Linked DNA regions of Mus musculus. The protein of the gene in region 1 purifies or fractionates together with the protein of each later gene. This does not show direct contact. Links are inferred from orthologs where the notes say so. Each region holds a gene or a part of one and is shown in the gene's direction. Other genes may lie near its edges.

The links. Proteins that work in one complex are often made in the same cells at the same time.
Region 2: the proteins of Prkar2a (region 1) and Akap8 purify together in Homo sapiens (affinity purification with western blotting; 3 studies listed by BioGRID and IntAct, with this or other methods). This does not show direct contact. The link is inferred for Mus musculus from reciprocal best matches to the Homo sapiens genes PRKAR2A and AKAP8.

The regions. Positions count from the first base shown.
Region 1 is NC_000075.6:108,742,957-108,748,089, forward strand, and holds part of Prkar2a (cAMP-dependent protein kinase type II-alpha regulatory subunit), read left to right. Parts: intron 1-1,273; coding exon 1,274-1,339; intron 1,340-2,525; coding exon 2,526-2,667; intron 2,668-3,904; coding exon 3,905-4,038; 3' UTR 4,039-5,133. UniProt on the Homo sapiens protein: Regulatory subunit of the cAMP-dependent protein kinases involved in cAMP signaling in cells. Type II regulatory chains mediate membrane association by binding to anchoring proteins, including the MAP2 kinase.
Region 2 is NC_000083.6:32,317,789-32,323,465, reverse strand, and holds the start of Akap8 (A-kinase anchor protein 8), read left to right. Parts: upstream 1-2,227; 5' UTR 2,228-2,362; coding exon 2,363-2,381; intron 2,382-2,410; exon of another isoform or gene 2,411-2,559; intron 2,560-2,601; exon of another isoform or gene 2,602-3,008; intron 3,009-4,656; coding exon 4,657-4,695; intron 4,696-5,587; coding exon 5,588-5,620; intron 5,621-5,677. Other genes in the region: Akap8l (A-kinase anchor protein 8-like), read left to right, coding at 1,475-1,570, 1,681-1,974. UniProt on the Homo sapiens protein: Anchoring protein that mediates the subcellular compartmentation of cAMP-dependent protein kinase (PKA type II).

The DNA.
Region 1 (5,133 bases):
TGAAACGTCCATATTTGCTTTAAGAAGTAAAAGTTTGCTTACATTTATATTATAAATATATTATAAATTTTATTATATATATAAAATTACTAAGGCAATGAACTGTATAGAAAGAACCCACATTTGTTCTGCTTAAAGCATAGCATAAGCCATTCTCCACATTATTACACATTTGCACCATAGTGCATGACATACTGTCTGCGTCACATGCAGTTGGTTCTGTCCTATCTGTGACATTGCAGTAGTATGTGTATAGACCGGTGTTCTTTTTTTTTTTTTCTTCATTCCTTATAATATTTGTGCTTCTTTTCTTGCTCAGACTTGCCAGTGGCTTGTCATTTCCTTTCCTTATCTCTGTGACTAATTTTCTGACAGAAGCACCTTCCTGAAGGAAGGGACCATTTATTCTGCTCCCAGTTTCAGGGGTATCAGCTCATCCTTGGCAGGAACAAGTCAGTGCGTGGTGGTCAGAAAGAGAACACAAAACGCAGACCCACTCCTAGTGACAGAGCTGGGCCCATGTTCCCAAGGCTCAGTACCTTCCTAGGAAAGTATCTCCAGAGGGGGACCAAATGCATGGACCTTTGGGAGACATTTTACCTCCAAACCGTAACACCGAAGTCTTTCAGGTTTTTTTTGTTTTTTTGACAGAATCAAGCTGTTCAAAGCAAGTTCCAGGACAGCCAGCAATGGCTACACAGAGAAACCTATGGGAAGAAGAAGTGCAGGGGAGGGGTACAAAACCCAAAAGAACTAAGGCCTCTTAATTGGCTTGCAGCCTGCTAAAGTCCACCCCAGGCATCTGCCTCCCCAGCACTGAGATTTCAGACATGCACTCCCTCCCCAAACAGGTTCTGAACCTCAGGTCATCGTGCCTGGCTTGCAGTGCTTGAGCTTTCTCCCTTTCTCTTCTGGAGGACTGTGTTTGTTGATCAAGGTTATTCCTACACCTCATACTCTGGGCCTTGCTTTGACACTGTTTGCTGTATTCTTGTTTACTGGTCCCCTGAATGGGTTTCGGCACACCAACATAGGCAGTCAGAGCAGAGATGCTGTGTAGTTGGTGACCTGGGCATATTCCTGGAGATAAATATGAGTGTGTAAGATGGAAGAGAAGTGTTAGTCATAATGAGGTTAATGTCCTTACTGATCAGAAACCTTTAGTTTGTTAGCCATTGATCCACTTGAGCACTTGGAGATAGAGTCTGAGAGCAGACAGTGCTGACAGTCTTCAGTGTTGGACATGAGTCTGACCTAACCTCCTCTTTTTCAGGGTGAAAAGGCCGACAGCTTCTATATCATAGAGTCTGGGGAAGTGAGCATCTTGATTAGAAGCAAGGTGAGTGTGAGTGTGCTGTGTACATGTTCTCCCACCAGTGTTTACTTTGCATAGTGTGGCCTGTACTTAAGAATACCAAGCCATCGCTCTCTGAGGTGTGGAACTGCCACTAATAAAGATTTAGTACATTTTCTCTGGACCTCATGGATATCTGTACCCATGTGCATGTGTGCATGTGTGTGTGCTCACACACGCACACACAAATAAAGTCCATCTGCGCGTGCTCACACAGGCACACACAAGTAAAGTAACAAAGAATTAGACAGGTATGGTTGCGCATACCTGTAATCCCAGCACTCAAGAGGCAGGGCTAGCTTAGTGTATATAACTAGTTTCAGTCTAGCCAGAGCCAGAAAGTGAGACTATGTTACCAATTGGGGCAGGGGCTTTTCTGCTTATAACATTCGTGGTTCTTAGAGCCAGAGGCTGATTCTCATAATTTGTTGTTACTGTTAGCAAATGGATTCATAAGAAATAAGAATCCCAGTGTAGCCGGGCGGTGGTGGCGCACGCTTTTAATCTCAGCACTCGGGAGGCAGAGGCAGGCGGATTTCTGAGTTCGAGGCTAGCCTGGTCTACAAAGTAAGTTCCAGGACAGCCAGGGCTACACAGAGAAACCCTGTCTCAAAACCAAAAAGGAAAAAAAAAAAAAAAGAAAAGAAAGAAAAAAACCAAACCAATCCCAGTGTAGCGATGCAGCATAGCACAGATGTTTGAAGGCTGCAGTCAGCTTGTTAAGGATGGAGACACAGCTCTGGTGGAAGTGCAGAAAGTTCTTTAAAAGAAATGTTGTCCCCCAAAACCATCCAAGGCTGCCTCAAACCAACCAGTGCTCTTGTGCTTTGGCTCGTGACTAGCAGAAGAATTAGCAGGGGACCTTATTGGGCTTCAGCCGTGCTTTGGTCACATCTCCCAGAGTGTGTGATCTCCACAGAAGACACTGCATGCTTAGCCTTTACCTAACATCTTATGGCCTAGGTGGAGACCCAGCTAAAACCACCCTTCAGTTGTACCAGGTCACAGAGATTTGCCTGTCCAAGTTTACAGGGTACAGGCAAGAGTTTCTGCATGCGAATTCCTTAGTAGTTTTGTTGAACTTTCTGAGAAATGATTTGAGTGTGCACAACTGGACATGCCCATCTGTGATCCTAGAGCCAGCCAGGATCATATTCTTTATTTGTTGCAGACCAAGTCAAACAAGAATGGAGGGAACCAGGAGGTCGAGATTGCCCATTGCCATAAGGGGCAGTACTTCGGAGAACTTGCCCTGGTCACCAACAAACCCAGAGCTGCTTCCGCTTACGCGGTTGGAGATGTCAAATGCTTAGGTAAGAAAAAGCTTTGTGAGGGGCTTCCACGGCCTACTCCAACTTTAGGCAACTAATGGCAGCTGGAGGAGGGAGACATAATCCTGATTAAATTCTATCTCCCCCTTCCTCCCAAAAAGACATGAAATCAGAAGAGCAGGGTGGGAACTAGCTGGGAAGAAGGGGGATGGGTTGGAGTGAGAGTGGGCGGCAGGTAGTGAGGGATGGACATGGTCAAAATCATGCATGTGTGAAGATACCATGATAAAAACCATTATCATGTATGGCTGAAATAGGCTAATAAACATTCTAAACATGGAAAAGAAAATTCTTTGTGCATTACTAATATACAGGGGTTTTATTGTCTTTCCTGTAACTGGCCTGACTTATTCTGATGACTCTTGTTCAGTTCTAGGTCTGGATAGTTTGTGTAAATGAATTCTTATAGCAAAGCTCACCCCCTCTCTCTGGGAGTTGTTGGGCATTGAACTTAAAACCTTGCACATTCTAAGCACATGCTGTGCTACTAAAGCTCTACCCCAGTACCCTAGAAATCATTTCTGAGCAATGAATCCAGGCTGTGAGTAAGACAGGCCCACAGGCAGACAGGCACACAGGCACATAAACACACAGGCACACAGACAAACAGGCAGACAGGCTCACAGACAAACAGGCCCACAGGCCCACAGATAGACAGGCACATAGATACACAGGCACACAAACAGGCCCACAGGCAAACAGGCCCACAGGCACACAGATACACAGGCACACAGACAAACAGACACACAGACACACAGGCACACAGACAAACAGGCAGACAGACTCCCAGACAAACAGGCATACAGACACTCAGGCACACAGACAAACAGATACATAGGCACACAAACAGGCCCACAGGCCCACAGACACACAGGCCCACAGACAAACAGGCCCACAGACAAACAGGTACACAGGCACACAAACAGGCACACAGACACACAAGCACACAGGCCTATGAAAGCAGCAGTGATGGAGGCAGGTGGCCAGGCCTGTGGAGGAACAAGACAAGCATTGTCCGCCATTAATCTTCAACCCAGATGCCTCCTGCTGTAGTATGCAGAAGCACCCGTTTCCCCTTTTCCCATGTGCCCAGTATTCTAACGTTCACTCCTGTAACATGAGCGAGTAGTGTGTTTAGGAAAAGGGTTGCATGCAGGAAATTACTTAAACTGTTACTGTAAACAAATCATTCTCTCCCACACCTTTTTTAACAATGCAGTTATGGATGTTCAAGCATTTGAGAGGCTTCTGGGCCCCTGCATGGACATCATGAAGAGGAACATCTCACATTACGAAGAACAGCTGGTGAAGATGTTTGGCTCCAACTTGGATCTGATGGACCCCGGGCAGTAGATGTGATGAATCTTGGAGCCTTCTCAGTGTGATACCAAAACCTTCCAGTCAGCCACAAGAACACACACAGAAAACAGACACGACAGAACCGCTCCTGCTGCTGTCTCCGCCGCTGCCATTGCTGTGGTTAAGGGCATTTAGAAATCTTGAAAGTCAGCACTGAAAGATGGATGGAGGTTCCACCCACACCCACCCTCCACTTTGCTTCTGAACGCCGTCATTAGACCACTTATGTCATGAGTACTCCAACCCAGGTTTCACATTTGGTTCAGAATGTCTCTCCAGCAATTTAAGTGCCTGATTCAAAGTCCAAAGCGTAACACCCTCCTTTCCTCTCTTGCTGCTAACGTTGCTTCTGAAAGTTCTAAGGTCTGCAGACACCTGTTGAGTAGCTGTAGACAGCACCTCCGCAGTCCTTCTCGAGGGAGAAAATGGTAGAGCCTTCCGTCTCGTTTGTCTTTTAGAAAGTCCACAGTGTGTTCACAATGCTGCTTTACTCTCACAGTGGAAGGTGGTAGCAGTTATACTGGAGGTCTCTGCCCCAGAGGCTCTGTACCATTTGCTGGCAGCTACACACTTTACAGCTGTGTCTAAACTCAGAAAGAGGCCCAGCAGATCCGTATGGGCAGATTGAGTACTAAGACTCACGTTAGCAGGAAACTTGGATTCAACACTCTTTCCAGTAGTAGCCAGGAAAGGTTATCTGGGTTAGGGTTTTTGTTGTTTGTATTTAGTAGGTTTTTGTTTTGTTTTGTTTTGTTTAACCTCTGTGCTGTTTACATAAACAAATTGCTATCCTTTTCTAAGGAGCCAGGGGTGGCTGGTTAGCTCAGCTGGTCAGGGCATGGTGCTGATATGAGGAGCCAGGGTCTGGAGGTGTTGTCACTTTATCTGACCTGAGTACTTCCCTGAGTGAGCCCTGCCTGTCCCTTTCACTGGCTGATAGCGGGAAGCCAGCAGGAGGCTGTGCTGCACAGAGAACTCCTTCCCTTCTAGCGTTACTGCATAGCGTGCCTAGAAATCATCAGTTTTTAAACTCTTAACAAAGAAGCTATTTTTTTTTAAGGAAATTATTTCTCTATTTAGAGAATTCAC
Region 2 (5,677 bases), on another chromosome or scaffold:
GAAACCCTGTCTCGAAAGAAGAAAAACAAACAAAAAAACTAAAAAAAAAAACTTTGGGATAGGAATTACTGAGGCAAATTTGTATTTCTTGTGTATTCCATCAAATAGCTTTTCAAGTCTATAACCAGTTGCTCCACCAGTAGAGAAGTGTCTCTTTTCAGTTTTACCATTATTTCTTCATATCCAAATCCTGTGAGTTAAAATGATGCACAATATTTAAATATAGTTTCATCTATATTCTCATTTTGTTTTGGCAGTCTTATGTAGTCCAAGCTGTCCTGGAATTCACTCTATAGGTCAGAGTGGCCTTGAATTTGCAGCAGTCCTCTCTTCCTCTTAAGTGATGGGCTTACAGGTGTGCATTGCTAGGGCTGTTTTTATACCCTCTTTACTGGTTCTAAACAATTTGCTCCTAGGTGACTGCATGTGTATGTCTGTGTATCTGTGGGAGGGCGGGAGGTAGCATGTGTGTAGAAGTCAGAGGACAACTTGCAGGAGTTGGTTCTCTCCTTTATTGTATGTGACCTTAGAATTGGGTTCAATTTGCCAAGCTGTGCTTTTACCCAGAGTCATCTTGCCAGACCCTTTATTGTTTTTACATTTTACTTTTTTTGTTGTCACTGGAATTGAGGGGAGGGGGGTGGCAGTGAAGGTTTTTCTGTGTCCTGGAACTTGCTCTGAGACCAGGCTGGCTTTGAACTCAGGAAGATCTGCCCTCCTACCTCAGCCGCCCAAGTGCTGGGATTAACGATATGGGCCACCAAGCCCAGCCCTACGTTTTACTTTTAATAAGTTTTATTACATCTGGTGTGTGTGTATATATATGGGGATTGAACCTAACTAAGGCTTTAAGAATACTAAGAAAGCACTCTATCATCAAATTATTATATTATCTCCAGCTGGCCCCCTCCCCCTTTTTACGTTTTATTTTTTTATTTTTTATTTTCTTGTATGTTTTGCCTGCACATATGCTCACTATTCACATGCCTGGTGCCTGTGGTAACCAGAAGAGGGCTTCATATTCCTGGGAACTAGATTAGAGATTGTTGTCAGCCACCTTGTAGGTGGCAGAAAATGAACCTGAGTCTTTGAAATACTAACAAGTCCTTTACGCTGAGCCATCTCTCTAGCTCCCAGCCGTCTTTTATTTTCTGAGACATAGTCAAACCATGTAAACCGTTAAACTCTGTAGTCCAGGTAGGCCTTCCACTTTAATGTCCTGGAGTTACATGGCCTGTGCCACTAAGTCCAGTACTTACTATAGTTTCTATGTAAGCAGATCAGGTTTCAAACAGCAAATAAGGTGTGGGTGATCAGATCGAATCCTAGTTCCTTGCATGCCTGTCCAGACTGACTGGAATTACGCCCAAGGTCACTTACAGACACTAGGACTAGTTATTGGTGAATCTGAACCTCAGCTGGGTTTGTTGGATTCCTAGAGCAGCCTCACCAGCCCTGTCTGCCCTGCCCATAGCTTATGATGGAGCAGTCCAAGAAGTCCTCGCTTATGGTGGCCCGCAGTATTCTCAACAACAAGCTCATTAGCAAGAAGCTGGAGCGATATCTGAAGGTGAGGCAAAGGCGAAAGCACTGTCCTAGTCCTGACCTTTGTGTGAGCCTGGTCCCCATTCTATCCCAGTGATTCCTACCTCCCATTAAAGTCTCTATCCATCTCTACAGGGCGAGAATCCTTTCACTGACAACCCAGAGGAGGAAAAGGAACAAGACGAGGTGGAGGCTGGCGCTCTGGATGAAGGGGCACCAAGCGAAGCGACAGAGCTCACAGAGGGCGTGCCGGCACAGCCCCCCGTGCCCCTGGAGCCCGCCCCAGGGACTACAACACCGCCACCTCCGCCACCACCAGAAGAGGAGGAGAGCCCTGTACCCTTGCTGGGCGGAGCGCTGCAGTGTCAGATCCGCGGGATCCCGGGCCTCGACATGGAAGACGACGAGGAGGGCGGTGGGGGTCCATAACCCTTACCCGGCAGGGCTCCCGTGGCCGAGGCTGGAAGTCCAGCCTAATAAAGTGCTTTCCCATCTGAGGTCTTCGTTTGTGCTGTGGTGAGGGCGGGCCCCTAGAAGTGCGCCTGCGCGCGGGTAAACGCGCTAGAACCGCTCACGCGTGCGCGGACCTGGACGCTCTTGCGCACTAGCTTACCCTTGAGGCACAACTCCCGAGATGCTGTAGATTTGCAACCCGGAAGGCTGGGCGGATCGGCGGGGGCGGGCCCATTTGAGCAACCAATGGTAGCGCCCAGAAAGAGACGTACGCTCTTCGTCTTCCAGTAGCAGACAGCACGTTGAACGCATGCGTTCTGAGCGAATCTAAGACAAGGATCTGCTGGCGGGTCGCGTCGCAGACATGGAGCAAGGCTACGGAGGTTAGTGTGGGCTCTTCTTCACCACGGGAGACCCTGGCGCATGTGGTATTCGGGCTTAGCCTGCAGCCGGAACGCACTTGCCGCAGCCCGGTTCTGTGTGGAGTTGTCCCGGACGCGCGCGCTTCCCTTATTGGGCCTCTGCGCAATCGTTCCCGAAGCGCCGCGCGTGGATTGGCCGGTAGGACTCGGGGCGGGGGGTGCGGATGAGGCGCGAAGGCCGACGCTGTGGCCGGTTTCTGGATGCGTTCTGGACCGCTTTCACTGTGCAAGCCGAGTGGCTCTCATCGCTGCGGGACCCCAGGACCCGAGCGGTCTCAGTCCCGCCTTCTCTTCCGAAGACGCCACAAAATGGCGGCTCCAGGGGCGGGGCTAAAGCGAACGCTGAGGAAGCGGGGGGTGGAGGGGGTTGAGGTCCGGCTGGGTTGCGGCGGCCGTAGCGAGGAGAGAGTCTCAGCTCATCCTCCGCAGGTCGTCCTTGAGAGCTCGTGTCCCCGGGCTCGCTTTTCTGAAGGCTTACGGGCAGCGCGCGATCGGCCCAGCTGTGCACTGCGGCTACACCCGGTGCAGCTTTTTGGGAAAACCTGGCTGGGTCTCTGCAGTGTACGCGGCGTGAGGTGCTCGTGGGAGGTGTGCTGCCTGAGGGGCTGGGATTCTGGACTGTAACATTACGGGGGTCTGCGGAAGCGGGAACGTTGCCTTTCCTAACCTAAATGTCAGCAACTTTTCGTAATTAGGCGTCGGTTCTCGAGCTATCTGCTTTTAATCTCCTGGGAGGCCTTGACTCTGTACGGAGATTTACCCGCAGGAGATAGTTGGAACATGTGGAATGGGGTTGGAAGTGGGCACAGGGAGTGGTTAGTGGCTTCTGGCGGCTAAGGAAGGGATCTTGAGAGGCAGCAGAGTAACAAGATCCCTAGAATTGGACTTGCCAGAGAGGCCTGAGGTGTGATGAACACGTGTGCTTGGGTATCAGCCTAGTGCTCTTTGCCTTTGGGATCCTAGATCTATGTCTTCCATTCTTAGCCTTTCCACCAGATAGATACCTGTCACAACCCTGCTATACTTCTTTGGTCTAGGGAACTTCATGGTGACTCCCACTTTCTACCAGCCAATAATTTTACAGATACAGTTAGGGTATTTGCAGCCTTCCTGGTTTTTTTGTTTTTTTAACTAAGAATTTTTTTAGCCGGGCGTGGTGGCGAATGCCTTTAATCCAAGCACTTGGGAGGCAGAAGCAGGCAGATTTCTGAGTTTGAGGCCAGCCTGGTCTACAAAGTGAGTTCCAGGACAGCTAGGGCTACAGAGAAACCCTGTCTCAAAAAACCAAAAAAAAAAAAAAAAAAAAGAAGAAGAAGAAGAAGAAGAAAAAGAATCTTTTTTTTTTAAGATTTATTTATTATATGTAAGTACACTGTAGCTGTTTTCAGACATTCCAGAAGAGGGCATCAGATTTCGTTAGGGATGGTTGTGAGCCACCATGTGGTTGCTGGGATTTGAACTCGGGACCTTCGGAAGAGCAGTCAGCGCGATTAACCACTGAACCATCTGGCCAGCCCCTCCCTGGTTTCTAAGTAGCAGTTAGGTATGGCCGTACTGAGTGCCTGTCAGCACATTTAAGGGACTGTGTTACAGTGGGGCTTTTGGGATATTCTGGAAAGGGAACTAACCATTAACACTGTCAAAGTGAAGTCATTCGACAGCCTGGGACTGTGCCACTGTATCGGACTATATGCTAGGCTCCAAAAACACAAATGAAGAGAATGTATTCCCTTTCTGTTCAAAGGAGTGTTGTAGGGGGTGACTTAGAAGGTCAGAGGGAGGCTTGAAAGCTGGGGTGTTGAGTGTTTAGTTACATGGAAGCAAAGCCTAACGTTTATGTCACCGAATTTCTAGCTTGTTTCCCAGTTTCGTGGCATAACTGGCAGCACTCTGAGCTTTCCCGCTTATGTGGCGGCTAGGCCAGTACAGTGGGCACTGTGACCTAATGCTGTGTTTTGTGTCCTCTAAACTTGGTTCCCTCCCTCCCGCCACCCCCCCCCCCTTTTTTTTTTTTTTTTTTTTTTTTTTTTTGCTTTGATGTCAGCTCAGCCAGGTAAGGTATGATGGTTTGCTTGCATTTGTGGGTGGAGATAGTTCTTAAAGGCTGGAGGAGGTGCGCTGGATCACATTTACGTTCCCTCGTTGTAAGCTGACACTTCTTTAGACTCTTTGGGTGTTATCAGAACTCTTATTTCCTTGAGGTAGGACAGAATCTTGACACATGATCTTTTCACAGGCTATGGGGCATGGAGTGCTGGACCTGCCAACACCCAGGGTAAGTGGTTCCTGATTAATGGGTTGGCTTGTGGGTTTCTCCACTGCATGCCCCCTTGTAGTAGAGCCCAGCATCTGTCTTCCCTAGGGGACATTTTGCCTTTTTTTTCTTTTTAAGGAAAAACAGTACTACATGGGAGCGGAGGCTGATTAGTAAGAAGAATGCTCCTTGTGTCACTCTGCTACCTGCCACCACAGGCCTCAGTAGCACCCATGCACCCCTGTTAGTCTGTATACACAAACTGTGCGTTCCTATTATGTTTAGCATATTGTGGAACGTTTGTCTTGGGGTGCTTTTCTTGTGACCATTTAGAGAGATAAAACCTGTTTTTAAGTCAAGAGTACAAAAACAGACAGTAGGCTAGATGTGGCCTAGGCTTTTGTTCACCCTTATTTTCTGAGTCTAGAACCTGTCCCAGGCCAAGTCCCTAGCACCATTGGAGGCAAGCCACTTTTTTGTGTGCCCCGTGAAAAGGTCTTCCAGACACCTCTGCCACATAATATGTTCTTATTCAGTTGAGAATGTGATTTCCTCCCACTCCCACTGATGCCTTAGGTATGGTTGGGAATAACTAGGTTTGGTGAGAACTGAGCTTATTTATGCAGGGGATTTTCTAAGGTCCAGTGCAGCCTGTCCTCTCAGTTAGTACTGTAGTGTAGACCACCATCTTGGGGATTGCTGTGTACCTTTCTTTTCTAAGCTTTCATGGGAGAAGTCAGGCCTGCCTGGGAGAGAAATATTATTGGTGCTTTGTACCTGTTCTGTAAAACGTGAGCATGCTAAGGACCACTGACACAACCAGTCACACCCCACCTTGTGGTGCAATGAGGTGGCAGCTGTCCTTAGGTAATAACTGGTATTGAAGTGCTTATGTGTTTTTGTTTTTCCTAAGGTACATATGGAAGTGGTATGACCAGCTGGCAAGGTAAGACCTTCTGAAAGGGACCTTGAGGTGGGCAAGTGAGTCTTTAAACAGCCATCC